4 linked regions of the Saccharomyces cerevisiae S288C genome follow. The protein of the gene in region 1 purifies or fractionates together with the protein of each later gene. This does not show direct contact. Each region holds a gene or a part of one and is shown in the gene's direction. Other genes may lie near its edges. The genes, in order: BRR2, LSM7, LSM8 and SMB1.

What was found.
Region 2: the proteins of BRR2 (region 1) and LSM7 purify together in Saccharomyces cerevisiae (affinity purification with mass spectrometry; 6 studies listed by BioGRID, with this or other methods). This does not show direct contact.
Region 3: the proteins of BRR2 (region 1) and LSM8 purify together in Saccharomyces cerevisiae (affinity purification with mass spectrometry; 9 studies listed by BioGRID, with this or other methods). This does not show direct contact.
Region 4: the proteins of BRR2 (region 1) and SMB1 purify together in Saccharomyces cerevisiae (affinity purification with mass spectrometry; 8 studies listed by BioGRID, with this or other methods). This does not show direct contact.

What each region holds. Positions count from the first base shown.
Region 1 is NC_001137.3:529,982-537,770, reverse strand, and holds the start of BRR2 (ATP-dependent RNA helicase BRR2), read left to right. Parts: upstream 1-1,749; coding exon 1,750-7,789. Other genes in the region: RAD24 (Rad24p), read right to left, coding at 1-1,471.
Region 2 is NC_001146.8:349,127-351,929, forward strand, and holds LSM7 (Sm-like protein LSM7), read left to right. Parts: upstream 1-1,813; coding exon 1,814-1,831; intron 1,832-1,927; coding exon 1,928-2,257; downstream 2,258-2,803. Other genes in the region: PGA2 (Pga2p), read right to left, coding at 241-630; ALF1 (Alf1p), read right to left, coding at 781-1,545; YNL146C-A (uncharacterized protein), read right to left, coding at 2,260-2,454; YNL146W (uncharacterized protein), read left to right, coding at 2,589-2,803. UniProt on the Saccharomyces cerevisiae protein: Component of LSm protein complexes, which are involved in RNA processing and may function in a chaperone-like manner. Component of the cytoplasmic LSM1-LSM7 complex which is involved in mRNA degradation by activating the decapping step.
Region 3 is NC_001142.9:467,984-470,676, forward strand, and holds LSM8 (U4/U6-U5 snRNP complex subunit LSM8), read left to right. Parts: upstream 1-1,800; coding exon 1,801-2,130; downstream 2,131-2,693. Other genes in the region: TES1 (palmitoyl-CoA hydrolase), read right to left, coding at 1-298; REC107 (Rec107p), read right to left, coding at 572-1,200, 1,281-1,596; methylthioribulose 1-phosphate dehydratase MDE1, read right to left, coding at 2,247-2,693. UniProt on the Saccharomyces cerevisiae protein: Component of the nuclear LSM2-LSM8 complex, which is involved in spliceosome assembly. The LSM2-LSM8 complex plays a role in the biogenesis of the spliceosomal U4/U6-U5 tri-snRNP complex by accelerating PRP24-mediated annealing of U4/U6 di-snRNA.
Region 4 is NC_001137.3:212,087-214,862, reverse strand, and holds SMB1 (mRNA splicing protein SMB1), read left to right. Parts: upstream 1-1,685; coding exon 1,686-2,276; downstream 2,277-2,776. Other genes in the region: Rab family GTPase YPT31, read left to right, coding at 116-787; CHZ1 (Chz1p), read right to left, coding at 965-1,426. UniProt on the Saccharomyces cerevisiae protein: Plays a role in pre-mRNA splicing as a core component of the spliceosomal U1, U2, U4 and U5 small nuclear ribonucleoproteins (snRNPs), the building blocks of the spliceosome.

The sequences.
Region 1 (7,789 bases):
TTAGAGGTGCGTAGTAGCCAAATTCTAGAGTTATATTCCTGAAAGAATGTACCGCGTTGTACTTATAAAGACTAACATTTAACCAATCTTCAGCTTGAACTTTAAATGAATTTTGTAATTTTCTTACTTTCCATTCTCTTGGAAAATAAACCGTTCCATGATTATGGCCTTGTTTACTGATGTTACGAAAGGTTTTGCGCACTTCTCGTAAACCATACTCATTGGATTCTGGTAGACCATTCATATTATCACACTCGCTCAGGCAATCCACAATTGATGATGCATCAGAAATGCTGAATTCGCCTTTATTAAATGTGTTATAGTTCTCTAATATTCCTAATTTGAAATCCTCTTTCGATAACAAATTGTTCGAATTTTCGAAGAGGTTATTAATCATTTCGTTATCGTTATTCGTGCTATGGGAACCATGTATCACCTTCCCAATGGCATGAAAGTATGATATGGTGGATTCTCGGGTTGAAATCGGCAAACTTCCACTTGATGTCGCCCAAAATTGAAGGGTCGTAATGGCCGACCTAATATCACCAGTCTCTTGCGCAATATAATCTATGACTTCCTGTCTTTTATTCCATTTATTTTTCTCCTTCAACATTTTCATATTCTGTACACAAATAAATTTCAAGTGCTTTTTTAATAAAGTGCTGTTAATTGGATTAAACTTAATTCTTTTCAACCTTGGATGCATCAATATTTCTTTGTTCATTATGGTTTCTGCACTAAATGTATAATCAATACCAAATTTGCGATAATTATTATCGTTCTCTGGAATTTCACATTCAGTTATACATATAACAAGGGGAGGTAATAGAGGCTCCGAACTATATAGCCACTGTAATATAAGTTGTTGAAATCGACGTCTGGTATCTATATGGAAGACGTTGGGAAGGTCCTCGATAAGTATTAATGACAGGTTGGACATCACAAGATACCGTGCGCCTTTTAAGAACTCACTAAAGCTTTCCATCTGAGGAAGATCGTTGACTATACAATCACCTCTAAACTCGGTCACTTTATGCTCGTTCGGGGTGCTTCGAAAGGACGTTCCGTTGCTGTTTTGTCTGTATTTAGGAACTAAGATTTTTGAGAGTTCTTTTATGACCGTACTTTTAGAGCATCCACTGGGGCCAGACAGTAGTAGGATCCTATGCTTGGCGTTAGGTAAAAACATGGCATCTAAAGCTTCTTGTACATCTTTAAGTTTTCTTTTATGTATGGCCACTTGCTCCAAACAATTGGGCTTGAACTTTTCGTACCACTGTTCACCGCCGTCGTCGTTGATACTTGGGAGGATACTAGACGTATCTTGCTTGGAAAGAAAGTCATTTTCAGTGCTTCTCGCCTTACGAACTGGCGAAGTCGGTCTAGATGAGCTCCATTTTGTTATTTGCGAGCCCAATGAACTGAGACTATATTGTAATAAGGGCCGTTTGTTCAAATTCGTACTATCCATATCATTCAGACAGGAACAAACTTGATAATTAGTGGTGTTGAATCAAGTACTATTAACGCATTGTGATGATCTCTCAGATATCAATGCGTGTTTGCTTCTTTGACGATCTAATATTGAATATTGTCGCTCTTTACGAGAATATTAAAAATTTATGCTACTAAAGCTATGTCTACTATAAAGGAATAATACACTAATAGAGATAATCTTGAGTAAAATAAGGTGAAGGTAAATATAAGTAATTGCTTTGGAAGATTTACCGTGAGCCTTCGTTATTAAAAATGACTGAGCATGAAACGAAGGATAAGGCCAAAAAAATTAGAGAAATTTATCGTTATGATGAGATGTCCAATAAGGTGTTGAAAGTTGATAAACGCTTTATGAATACCAGCCAAAATCCTCAAAGGGATGCGGAAATATCACAACCAAAATCCATGAGTGGTAGAATTAGTGCTAAGGATATGGGACAGGGCCTGTGCAATAACATTAATAAAGGACTAAAAGAAAATGATGTAGCCGTTGAAAAAACTGGAAAGAGCGCATCATTGAAAAAAATTCAGCAGCATAACACCATTTTGAATTCTTCCTCCGATTTCAGGTTACATTATTATCCAAAGGATCCCTCAAATGTCGAAACTTACGAGCAGATTTTGCAGTGGGTTACAGAAGTTTTAGGCAATGATATACCCCATGATCTTATTATTGGAACTGCTGATATATTCATCAGACAATTGAAAGAAAATGAGGAAAATGAGGATGGTAATATTGAAGAGCGAAAGGAAAAGATCCAGCATGAGCTAGGCATCAATATAGACTCCCTGAAGTTTAACGAATTAGTTAAACTTATGAAAAACATTACCGATTATGAAACACATCCTGACAATAGCAATAAACAAGCAGTAGCAATTCTTGCCGATGATGAAAAATCAGATGAAGAAGAAGTAACAGAAATGTCCAACAATGCTAATGTTCTTGGGGGAGAAATCAATGATAATGAAGATGATGATGAGGAATATGATTACAATGACGTTGAAGTCAATTCTAAAAAAAAAAACAAGAGGGCATTGCCAAACATTGAAAACGATATAATTAAACTCTCCGATAGTAAAACAAGTAATATCGAGAGCGTTCCGATATACTCAATCGATGAATTTTTTTTGCAGAGAAAACTTCGGTCAGAGCTTGGTTACAAGGATACCTCTGTAATACAAGACCTGTCAGAAAAAATTTTGAATGATATTGAAACACTTGAGCATAATCCAGTAGCGTTGGAGCAGAAGTTGGTTGATCTGCTTAAATTCGAGAATATATCACTGGCTGAATTTATTCTCAAGAATAGATCTACAATTTTTTGGGGCATACGACTGGCGAAGAGCACAGAGAATGAAATACCGAACTTAATAGAGAAAATGGTTGCAAAAGGTTTGAATGATCTTGTGGAACAGTATAAATTTAGAGAAACTACACACTCAAAGCGTGAACTCGATTCCGGTGACGACCAGCCACAGTCTTCGGAAGCAAAAAGAACAAAATTCAGTAATCCAGCAATACCGCCCGTCATAGATTTGGAAAAGATTAAATTCGACGAAAGTTCTAAATTAATGACCGTGACAAAAGTATCCCTACCGGAAGGATCATTCAAAAGGGTGAAACCACAATATGACGAAATACATATTCCAGCTCCTAGCAAACCTGTTATTGATTATGAGTTGAAAGAAATTACTTCTCTACCAGATTGGTGTCAGGAGGCGTTTCCTTCATCGGAAACAACGTCCTTAAACCCTATACAATCAAAGGTTTTTCACGCAGCATTTGAAGGTGATTCAAACATGCTAATATGTGCACCCACTGGTTCAGGTAAGACGAATATCGCGTTATTGACGGTATTGAAAGCCTTATCCCATCATTATAACCCGAAAACTAAGAAATTAAACCTTTCTGCATTTAAAATTGTTTATATAGCACCCTTGAAAGCCTTAGTACAGGAACAAGTCCGAGAATTTCAAAGGAGGTTGGCTTTTCTAGGTATAAAAGTCGCTGAATTGACTGGTGATTCTAGGCTTAGTAGAAAGCAAATTGACGAGACGCAGGTTTTGGTGTCTACGCCAGAGAAATGGGACATAACTACTAGAAATTCAAATAATTTGGCCATCGTAGAACTTGTTCGTTTGTTGATTATAGATGAAATACATTTGTTACATGATGACAGGGGACCAGTATTGGAAAGCATCGTGGCTAGGACATTTTGGGCTTCCAAATATGGCCAGGAATACCCCAGAATAATAGGCCTTTCTGCCACCTTACCAAATTATGAGGATGTCGGTAGGTTTTTAAGAGTTCCGAAGGAAGGATTGTTTTATTTTGACTCCTCATTTAGACCGTGTCCTCTATCTCAACAGTTTTGTGGCATTAAGGAACGGAACTCCTTGAAAAAGCTGAAGGCTATGAATGATGCTTGTTATGAAAAGGTATTGGAATCCATCAATGAAGGTAATCAAATAATCGTGTTTGTTCATTCTCGAAAAGAAACATCACGAACAGCAACATGGTTGAAAAATAAATTTGCTGAAGAGAACATTACTCATAAATTAACCAAAAATGATGCAGGATCGAAGCAGATTTTAAAGACAGAAGCAGCCAACGTACTCGATCCAAGTCTACGAAAGTTGATTGAAAGCGGTATAGGGACGCATCACGCAGGGCTGACCAGAAGTGACAGATCCTTATCTGAAGATTTATTTGCAGACGGGTTGTTGCAAGTATTGGTATGCACTGCGACGTTAGCATGGGGTGTTAATCTACCTGCTCATACAGTGATTATAAAAGGAACAGATGTCTATTCACCTGAAAAGGGGTCCTGGGAACAACTTTCTCCACAAGATGTACTTCAAATGTTAGGTAGAGCAGGCAGACCGAGATATGACACATTTGGCGAGGGTATTATAATAACAGACCAATCGAATGTTCAATATTATCTCTCGGTTTTAAATCAACAATTACCAATAGAATCGCAATTTGTTTCAAAATTAGTTGACAACTTAAATGCAGAAGTTGTCGCGGGTAACATTAAGTGCAGGAATGATGCTGTGAATTGGTTGGCGTATACTTACCTATATGTCAGAATGTTAGCTTCCCCTATGCTTTACAAAGTACCTGATATTTCAAGTGATGGGCAATTGAAAAAGTTTAGAGAAAGCTTAGTCCATTCGGCCCTATGCATTTTAAAAGAACAAGAGTTGGTGTTATATGATGCTGAAAATGATGTAATTGAGGCGACCGATCTAGGAAATATAGCGTCGTCATTTTACATAAATCATGCTTCCATGGATGTTTACAATAGAGAGTTAGATGAACATACAACTCAGATTGATCTTTTTAGAATATTCTCAATGTCGGAAGAGTTTAAGTACGTATCGGTGAGATATGAAGAGAAAAGAGAACTAAAACAACTTCTAGAGAAAGCACCCATTCCTATCAGAGAAGATATTGATGATCCTTTAGCAAAAGTGAATGTACTACTGCAGTCTTATTTTTCCCAGCTAAAGTTCGAAGGTTTTGCACTTAATTCTGATATAGTGTTTATTCACCAAAATGCTGGTAGGTTATTGCGTGCTATGTTTGAAATATGCTTGAAGAGAGGATGGGGACATCCCACACGGATGTTGTTAAATCTTTGCAAATCTGCCACAACTAAAATGTGGCCAACAAACTGTCCTTTAAGACAGTTTAAAACATGCCCTGTCGAAGTGATTAAAAGGCTGGAAGCCTCTACAGTACCGTGGGGAGATTATCTACAGCTAGAAACACCTGCCGAAGTTGGTCGTGCAATCAGATCTGAAAAATATGGAAAACAGGTTTACGATTTATTGAAAAGATTTCCCAAAATGTCCGTAACATGCAACGCTCAGCCAATTACCCGTAGCGTTATGAGGTTCAACATTGAAATAATAGCCGACTGGATATGGGATATGAATGTACACGGTTCCCTTGAACCTTTTTTGCTCATGCTAGAAGACACTGATGGTGATTCAATACTTTATTATGACGTACTATTCATCACTCCAGATATAGTTGGTCATGAATTTACCTTATCCTTTACTTATGAGTTAAAGCAGCACAATCAAAATAACTTACCACCTAATTTCTTCCTTACTTTGATATCAGAAAATTGGTGGCACAGTGAATTCGAGATTCCAGTTTCCTTCAATGGATTTAAACTTCCGAAAAAATTTCCTCCTCCTACTCCCCTTCTGGAGAATATTAGTATTTCAACATCAGAGCTTGGCAATGATGATTTTTCCGAAGTATTTGAATTTAAAACTTTCAACAAGATTCAGAGCCAGGTCTTCGAGTCTCTCTACAATTCGAATGACTCGGTCTTTGTAGGTTCAGGAAAGGGCACAGGTAAAACAGCTATGGCTGAATTAGCACTGTTAAATCATTGGAGACAGAATAAAGGAAGAGCGGTTTATATCAATCCGTCTGGGGAAAAAATTGATTTTTTGCTATCTGATTGGAATAAAAGGTTCTCTCATCTTGCTGGTGGTAAGATAATAAATAAGCTAGGAAATGATCCTTCACTAAATTTAAAATTATTAGCAAAAAGCCATGTTCTCTTGGCTACCCCCGTGCAATTTGAGCTTTTGTCACGTCGTTGGAGACAAAGGAAGAACATCCAAAGTTTAGAATTAATGATATATGATGACGCTCATGAGATTAGCCAAGGTGTTTACGGTGCTGTGTATGAAACGCTAATTTCTAGAATGATATTTATAGCAACCCAACTTGAAAAGAAAATTCGATTTGTTTGCCTTTCGAACTGTTTGGCAAATGCTCGTGATTTTGGTGAATGGGCTGGTATGACGAAGTCAAACATCTACAACTTTTCTCCAAGCGAAAGAATTGAGCCTCTTGAAATTAATATTCAGTCATTTAAAGATGTTGAGCACATATCATTCAATTTTTCGATGCTTCAAATGGCATTTGAAGCATCTGCTGCTGCAGCGGGAAATCGTAATTCCAGTTCGGTGTTCTTACCATCTAGAAAGGATTGTATGGAAGTTGCGTCTGCATTTATGAAGTTTTCAAAAGCAATTGAATGGGATATGTTGAACGTTGAAGAAGAGCAAATTGTACCATACATTGAAAAGTTAACAGATGGTCATCTAAGAGCACCTTTAAAACACGGTGTTGGTATTTTGTATAAGGGGATGGCATCAAATGATGAAAGAATTGTGAAAAGGTTATACGAATATGGTGCGGTATCGGTTTTACTCATTTCTAAGGATTGTTCTGCATTCGCTTGTAAAACTGATGAAGTGATTATTTTAGGAACCAACCTTTATGATGGTGCAGAGCATAAATATATGCCATATACCATAAATGAACTTCTAGAAATGGTGGGACTAGCTAGTGGTAACGATTCAATGGCAGGCAAGGTTTTAATTTTGACAAGTCACAACATGAAGGCCTACTACAAAAAATTCTTAATTGAGCCTTTGCCTACTGAGAGTTACCTACAGTATATTATTCATGATACTCTGAACAACGAGATAGCAAATTCTATTATACAAAGCAAACAAGATTGTGTTGACTGGTTTACATATTCGTATTTCTATCGTCGTATCCATGTGAATCCAAGCTATTATGGCGTAAGGGATACGTCTCCACATGGAATTTCAGTTTTTTTGAGTAATTTAGTTGAAACTTGTTTGAATGACTTAGTTGAATCATCCTTCATTGAAATTGACGATACAGAAGCTGAAGTAACCGCAGAAGTTAATGGAGGAGATGATGAAGCAACTGAAATCATTTCTACCTTGAGCAACGGGCTAATTGCTTCTCACTATGGCGTATCATTTTTTACTATTCAGTCATTCGTTTCTTCTTTATCGAATACGTCAACGCTCAAAAACATGCTGTATGTTCTTTCAACAGCAGTAGAATTCGAAAGTGTTCCACTCAGAAAAGGAGACAGAGCATTACTTGTCAAATTAAGTAAAAGACTACCATTGAGATTCCCTGAACACACCTCTTCTGGTTCGGTGAGCTTTAAAGTTTTCTTATTGTTACAAGCATATTTTTCACGTCTTGAATTACCTGTCGACTTTCAAAATGATTTAAAAGACATTCTAGAAAAGGTTGTTCCACTAATTAACGTAGTGGTTGATATCCTTTCAGCAAACGGGTATTTGAATGCTACTACCGCCATGGATTTGGCGCAGATGTTGATTCAGGGTGTATGGGACGTTGATAATCCGTTGAGACAGATTCCACACTTCAACAACAAAATTTTGGAAAAATGTAAAGAAATTAACGTCG
Region 2 (2,803 bases), on another chromosome or scaffold:
GCGGAATGGGAATCATCGCAGTCGTTATCCGTCTCACAAACGTCGGCATTTGCTGACTATTAAGGCGACACGTAACCTACAAACTCAATTTGAGACGCAAACGCAAGTTGATTAGACGTTGAGAATGATGCAAGTAGCAACATCGGTAATGGTTAGACTATTTTATCAGAAAACTATAGAAAAACTAAAAACAAAACAATGTCACAATGACAAAGAGGAACCCATACATACACAGAGAGCCTATTCTTCCAGTAGTTCCTCAATATCAGCATCACTATCTGGGTCCAACCCTTGGTTTCTTCTCTTAGCCTCTTCCAAAGCGTTTTCAAACAACTCCTGTTGTCTTTTAACTCTTCTTCTAGTTTTCTTACCCCAACCGAAAGAAGTTGTTTCTGCTGTTGCAGCATCATCTGGCTTGTCGATCAGGTCTTTTGATCTCTTTTCCTCTTTGTCTCGTTTGTCCTTTTCCACTTGGGCAGCCAACTGCTTCTTCGCCAATTCCCTGGATGCGATATTTCTTAAGAGTAAATAACCACCTACAATTATCACCAATCTTATAAAGTGCTTGTAGTCATAGTTGACTAGTTTTGCCATCCAGGTATCCACCCATGTTTCCGCTACTTCAGACATCTCTTTCAATTACTCGGCAGTTTTTCTCTTCATAACATCTTTTCCTCATACAAACCGCCGAGTGCACATAAATACAACTACAAATAATAATATGTTGACATCGGATGGAGATCACTAACTAAACCGCCACCGCGCTAATTCTGCACAAATTCAAATTTCATCATCGCTCTCCACGTCATCATGGACGTCTTCCACCTCGGCGGATTCTTCGTCTTTTGATAGAATTTCCACAGCCCGCGGACGCACAAACGATCCGTGACCCGGCGCCACAGGCCCAAACAGTGTTACCCCATTTATGCGCCCATCGTTTTTGCCTGCGGCTTCCGGGAATTCCACACCGCACCATGTGCCCATCACGTCCAACGGTAGTGGTCCTACGTACCGTAAAATGGCCTCACGTGGAGCGCTCCCGTCTACTGTGACACGACAGTGGCGGCCGATAGCCGCCGTTAATTGCTCTCGGGCATATGCTTCGTCCTGCTTTGCCAGCGCAGCGCGCTGGCTCTGCTGTGCAGCATTAAACCTACCATAGCCGTGAGCCATCTTCCATCGTAATACGGATTGATCCCTTCGCAAATAATCCTCCTCGCTAATTACTTCCATTGAGGGGATTCCTTCCGCTTGCGTGGCCAGCTGGTTAGAGATTGATTGGGCATTAGAGTCTGTAACAACCACAATAAGCTCCTCCTCTCCTTTTAGGAAGTTGGCATCTTCATCCTCATTTGAATAGGCACCCCCCTTTTTAGTACTATATATCTCCTTGTTGTCGTACTGTCTTTTCACAACTATTTCCATATCCTCTGGTTCCACTCCGGTAACATGGTACAATCGGTCCTTGAACTGCCTTAATTTAAGCGAATTTGGTAATTCCTTTTCTGTACGGACCAATTCACTCTCTATGACAACTCTAACCATAGTTTTGCCATGTAATTTTTTTTTCTATCTCTTTATTTGAATTCGTTGCTCTATGTTCTTGTCGCTTGTCTTCTTCAACTGCCGTTTCCCTGCGAGCCGGAAAAAAGTACTGTTCTTTCGAACAAAGGCGAAAAAAGCTGTAGCTGAAAACAGACAACTGGGAAACGACAATTAAGAATACGCATGTACGTGTATACTACTACAGTAAAAAAGAAAGTTATTTGAGAGCAGCACTTTGTTTACTACACAGAACATTAACCAAAAAAACATGCATCAGCAACACTCCGTATGTTTCACTTCTTATTTTCTTCCGTGGCAATAACCTTCCTTTTGACTTATTTATACTAACATTATAATAACTATGTTTCCTTTTTGAACTAAGAAATCAGAGAACAAACCACAACAGCAAAGGAAAAAATTCGAAGGCCCTAAAAGAGAAGCTATTCTGGATTTAGCGAAGTATAAAGATTCTAAAATTCGCGTCAAATTAATGGGTGGTAAATTAGTTATAGGTGTCCTAAAAGGCTATGATCAACTGATGAACTTGGTACTTGATGATACAGTAGAATATATGTCTAATCCTGATGATGAAAACAACACTGAACTGATTTCTAAAAACGCAAGAAAGCTAGGTTTGACCGTCATAAGAGGTACTATTTTGGTCTCTTTAAGTTCCGCCGAAGGTTCTGATGTACTATATATGCAAAAATAGGTTTAATAATATAATCTCATATAAACTCCCTTCCTTACAGTTGAAAACAAAATCAAATCACGGTATGGCATTTCTTTACATATTCTCAATACCTGACTGACATAGTATGCGCTACATAGTTTTGTCCTATTTTTTTTACACCGCGATTTGAAGTCTAAAGCCAGAGAATGAGGAAAAACGAAACAAACTGAGATCATTTGTATAAGGGGAGTCACTGTACAGCTGCCAATACCAATTTTCCTTCTGCCAAATCAAAAAAGTATCCGCATACACATACACCCCTCCCTCTACAATCTTAATTATTTACTGATTCCTTTCGTATTTGTCCAGTATGAGCAATACTAAGCATACCACTTCTCATCACATGGAACTCAAAAGGATCATTATCCTTACACTTTTATTCATACTCATAATGTTGATATTTCGAAACTCAGTGTCCTTCAAAATGACATTTCAAGAACTACTGCCACGATTTTACAAAAAGAATTCAAACTCAGTTAGTAATAATAACAGGCCCTCATCTATTTTCTCGGAAAACTTGGTGGA
Region 3 (2,693 bases), on another chromosome or scaffold:
CACTAACCTGCTTATGGATGAAATTTCTACCGTTTCTCAGATTCTGCACATGGTACGTGATCTTGGTCCGCGGATCACCACCCTTGATGAAATACGAATGTAGCGATGTGGGGAAGAAGTTCAATGGCACAGTATGCAATGACGCCAGCAGCGATTGTGATACCAGCGTTCCACCAAAAGTGCCCTTAGACCCTACGGGCGCGGCAGGCAGATACTTTGTGACAAAACTGGTAGGCGAAAGAGGAACCAGTTCCAATATTTTCTCTAGGTTGGACATGGCCATTTTGGAAGCACTCATTTTTATGCAATCTTGTCTTATCTTGTCTTGCTCATGGTGGATACTGAATTGAAACCCTTTTCTGGTTTATATCCAACTGGCGTGGTTTTTCATTGTAGGATGAGGCTCGGTGTTTATGCCGTCTCTTCCGAGGATGCAATCAAAGGCTCTCTCCTTTGTTGGGGTAGTAGCAAGTCCAATAAGCAACGCTTGTTTGTTGATTGGGCCGATTTACATAGCCTATACACTGCTGTTACATATGCCTGTGTAGAATGAAAAAGCAGGACGCCCGTTTCACAGCTCAGATTCCAGAGTGTCGGGTCTTAGTTCCTCCCAGGGAATAATGGTCCTGGCCGCACGCTTCAGCCGATGGCTAGCGTCATCATTGTCTTCGCTATTGTGGTTTTGGCTGGTGGATAGGGTTGGGGAGCTGGATCTTCTGCGTTTCATGGACCTTGTGACCATCATTCTTGGTGGCGGCACGGACTTCTTACGCTGCTTATCGTGGGCTTCGTCCATATCGTGCAGGAGTGTGGTGCCATTCAGAGACACATCCGGGCGATCGTAGGCGTGATCTGCCTTTTCTCGAAACGCCATCTCTAGAGCAGTCTGGCGGGTTTGTAGACTGTGCATGTCTTTGGATAGAGACAGGAGCACTTTATGCACGTCCTCCAGTTGGCTGCCGACGTTGAAGAGCATCTCCTGGGTGCACCTCATCGACTTTTCCGTCTCATGCTGCTTGTTAGTTACGTGTCGCGTTATCTTGGAATTATACCTGCTTATTTCTTCGACTAATACCTGCCTGTAGCTGGAATCCGACTTTGTCTTCTTCTCGTCGCCTTTCGATAACATTGCTGTTGACACTTTGTCCAGTTGGTTTTCAATCTGGGAAGCCAAATCCTTTATTAAGGTTTTCACGTTTCCTATACTACAGTTGTTAGTAAATGTGTTTTGGAAGAAAATGAATAAAAAACTTGAGGGTATGCACTGTGTTGGTACGAACCGTTCGTAGCAGCATCTTGTTCCAGTAGCTGGTTAAACTTGTTTAGCGATTTACATAATGTCTTAGAATTTTCATTTAAAACTTTAATTAGCTTGTCAGAGTTTTCCCTCAGCTCCATACTCTCCAATTCCAGTTTACCTGCCCATTCCAGTATCTGCTTGTCCGATTCCTCTAAAGCGCCTGCATTCGCTACTTTCCCACTGTGGGAGAATATAGATCTGAACGGTGATGATGTTTCTGTAATCATCAACGAGTGTTCAGAATTAGCCTCTGAAACATCTGTAGATATCTCGTCTGTTCTACCTCTAGCGACCATTTTACTAAATGTTTCTACACGTCTGCAGTATCCTTGTTTTGCTTGTTTTCCTTCTTTCTGTTCTTGTTGATTTTCCCTTTAAGTCCTGAAAATACTATCATGGCGTAAAGGGAAAAAAAAAAACTAATCTTACGTGGTTCTTATAAGATGGACCAGCAAGCTGCATACAGTACACCATACAAGAAGAACACACTATCGTGCACCATGTCAGCCACCTTGAAAGACTACTTAAATAAAAGAGTTGTTATAATCAAAGTTGACGGCGAATGCCTCATAGCAAGCCTAAACGGCTTCGACAAAAATACTAATCTATTCATAACCAATGTTTTCAACCGCATAAGCAAGGAATTCATCTGCAAGGCACAGTTACTTCGAGGCAGCGAGATTGCTCTTGTTGGCCTCATAGATGCAGAAAATGATGACAGTCTAGCTCCTATAGACGAAAAGAAGGTCCCAATGCTAAAGGACACCAAGAATAAAATCGAAAATGAGCATGTAATATGGGAAAAAGTGTACGAATCAAAGACAAAATAATATAGTTGCAATAATAGTAATAATAATAATAATAATAATAATAATAATAATAATAATAATAATAATACCATGTATAGAAGTATATAAATCATACAATAAATTTAAGCATTAACCCGTCACGGACTGGCCATCTTCAGATGCTTCTTCTCTTCGCCAATGCCACAGTCGGGAGGAATCCCCATTTGGTACATCTTTATGGCCAGCTCCATCAAATAATCGATGGCTTCGTTGAAAATTTTGGCCTTATCGATTGTCGGACCCCAAACAAAAATGCCATGTCTCCTCACAATTACGGCGCATGTGTCTGGATAATCTTTAAAAGTCTTGTGCAAGTCATCGATCAACTCGTCCTCATGCGCCATGTTTTCAATGATGGGAATCTTCAGCGTATCAAAAAACGATAGCGCCATGGGTTTCTTGGTCACAGGGTCCACCTTTCCGCTTGGAATTGCTTTGATTTGTTCGATGTTAGCAATCCTGAACTCATCGCCAAATAGCAAGGAGCATATCACAGCATTTTGGGAGTGTGTATGTATTATAGCACCTGCATTTTTCTTTTGGTA
Region 4 (2,776 bases), 320 kb from region 1:
AAAGAGGGAAACTCAAAACTTTTCAAGAAAGAAACGAATAACAATTTGACCTTTATTACAAGGCACTTTGTTTAGGCCAGCAAAGGGATTCTGACGGCGTCTGGGGATTTCAACAATGAGCAGCGAGGACTACGGGTATGATTACGACCTACTATTTAAAATTGTACTGATCGGTGATTCCGGGGTAGGGAAATCCAATCTATTGTCAAGATTTACGAAGAACGAATTCAATATGGATTCAAAGTCTACAATTGGGGTTGAGTTTGCCACCAGAACTTTGGAAATTGATGGCAAGAGGATCAAGGCGCAGATTTGGGATACTGCGGGCCAGGAACGTTACAGAGCCATTACTTCTGCTTATTATAGAGGAGCTGTAGGTGCCTTGATCGTTTACGATATCAGTAAATCAAGCTCATATGAAAATTGTAATCATTGGTTATCAGAATTAAGAGAAAATGCAGATGACAACGTCGCAGTGGGGCTTATCGGTAACAAGTCTGATTTGGCCCATTTACGTGCTGTACCTACGGAGGAGTCCAAGACTTTTGCACAGGAAAATCAGTTATTATTCACAGAAACAAGTGCTTTGAACAGTGAAAACGTGGATAAGGCTTTTGAAGAGTTAATCAATACCATCTATCAAAAGGTCAGCAAGCATCAAATGGACCTTGGTGACTCCAGTGCCAACGGGAATGCCAATGGTGCGTCCGCTCCTAATGGACCAACGATTAGTCTGACACCAACACCAAACGAAAACAAAAAGGCAAATGGAAATAACTGTTGTTAAGAGATATTTTGCAGCAGTTGCGCACTTGCATGTGAATGACTCTTCTCCCCTTTAATTCTGTGCTATATTTTTACAATTTTCTGCTGACATATAGTTTATATACATATAGAACGCATATAGGAAATTGAAGTAAACAGAATACACAAGTAGAGGCCGGTATGTACGACATTTTGCTTACTACTCTTTAAAATCATCGTCTTCTTCGTCTTCATCGTCTTCTTCTTTTTCACCATATCCTACATCATCTTTAGAGCCTGTGCTAGGTTCCTTCTTGTCTAATTCTTCTGCAGTCTTTTTATAGTCAATTACTTTGCCGCGTGTTCTTCTTCCGGATGTGATGATATTAGAGGTATCAATTTCTGCCAAATCGTCCTCTTCTTCTTCTCCCTCATTTCCCATCAATGCGTCTAACTTGGCATCGTCCATATCAGATTCAGAATCTTCAACAGTACCATTATTTTCGCTCTTCGTCAAACCATTTTTAGCCTTAGTCTCCTCTTTTGCTACTTCAGCGTCATAATCGTCATAGTTTCTTCTTCTTCTTCTCTTTGGCTTAGGTTCCACAGACTTTTCGGATTTATTATGACTTGATTCCTTTTGGCTTTCTAATTCACGCTTTTCCTTTGCTTCGTCAGACATTATTTCTCTCTTTCCTTCCATGTATTGAATTTTACTTACCAGGTGTGTTCCCCAATTAACCACCCACCGAGCTTCCTTATTTCTCCATGTTCTTGTTTTTCTCACGATAATGTGGGAAAAAATTCAAAATAAAAATTATGAAAATAAAAAATGAAATTTAAAGAAGCCTATGCTAGTTAGAAATGAACAAGACAGGGAAAAAAGTAGAAGGGGTAACAGAACCATCCGTATAACAGGTTTCCAGTAAAGTAAATAACTAATGAGCAAAATACAGGTGGCACATAGCAGCCGACTAGCCAACCTTATTGATTATAAGCTGAGGGTTCTCACTCAAGATGGCCGCGTTTACATCGGGCAATTGATGGCATTTGATAAACATATGAATTTAGTGTTGAATGAGTGTATAGAAGAGAGGGTACCCAAAACTCAACTAGATAAATTAAGACCGAGAAAAGATTCAAAAGATGGAACCACTTTGAACATCAAGGTAGAAAAAAGAGTGTTGGGACTGACTATACTAAGAGGAGAACAGATCTTATCCACAGTGGTGGAGGATAAGCCGCTACTATCCAAGAAGGAAAGACTAGTGAGAGATAAAAAGGAAAAGAAACAAGCGCAAAAGCAGACGAAACTAAGAAAAGAGAAAGAGAAAAAGCCGGGAAAGATCGCTAAACCTAACACGGCCAATGCGAAGCATACTAGTAGCAATTCTAGGGAGATTGCCCAACCATCGTCGAGCAGATACAATGGTGGCAACGATAATATCGGCGCAAATAGGTCGAGGTTTAATAATGAAGCGCCCCCTCAAACAAGGAAGTTTCAGCCCCCACCAGGTTTTAAAAGAAAATAAGGTTGATGTAGTGTAGTCTAATATAGTTTCCGTATACTTTTTTTGTGTACGCATGTGTGTTAATAGGGAAATTCATAATTAACTTAAGGAAGCATTTTTTTACTATTTTTTCATTACCTAAACATAATTTTAATTTTAATCCCTGTGTGGGATTTTAGGGTGTACGAGATATGTAAGTTATGAGCATATTTTTCCTTAGTTGACGAATAACCTTTAAGTCCTAGGAGGTTCAATATGCAATTGCATGCTATTATGCAACTCAATTGCTCAAGGGGCTATTCAGGTTTACATAATACGGATGAAAAAGATAAAGATCTCGGAAAAACTGAAAGGCACTCTTCGGAAAAACCTCTTTTATGGGGGGTGTTCTGGGGCAGAAACCAAAACGGCGGAACGCGTCCGGAAAAACATACATAGACCACACCGTAGAAATTACTTCCTTGGAGACCCCACCAAAAAATCCTTCACTAATTTTTCCGTGTATAAATGATTTAGCTCCC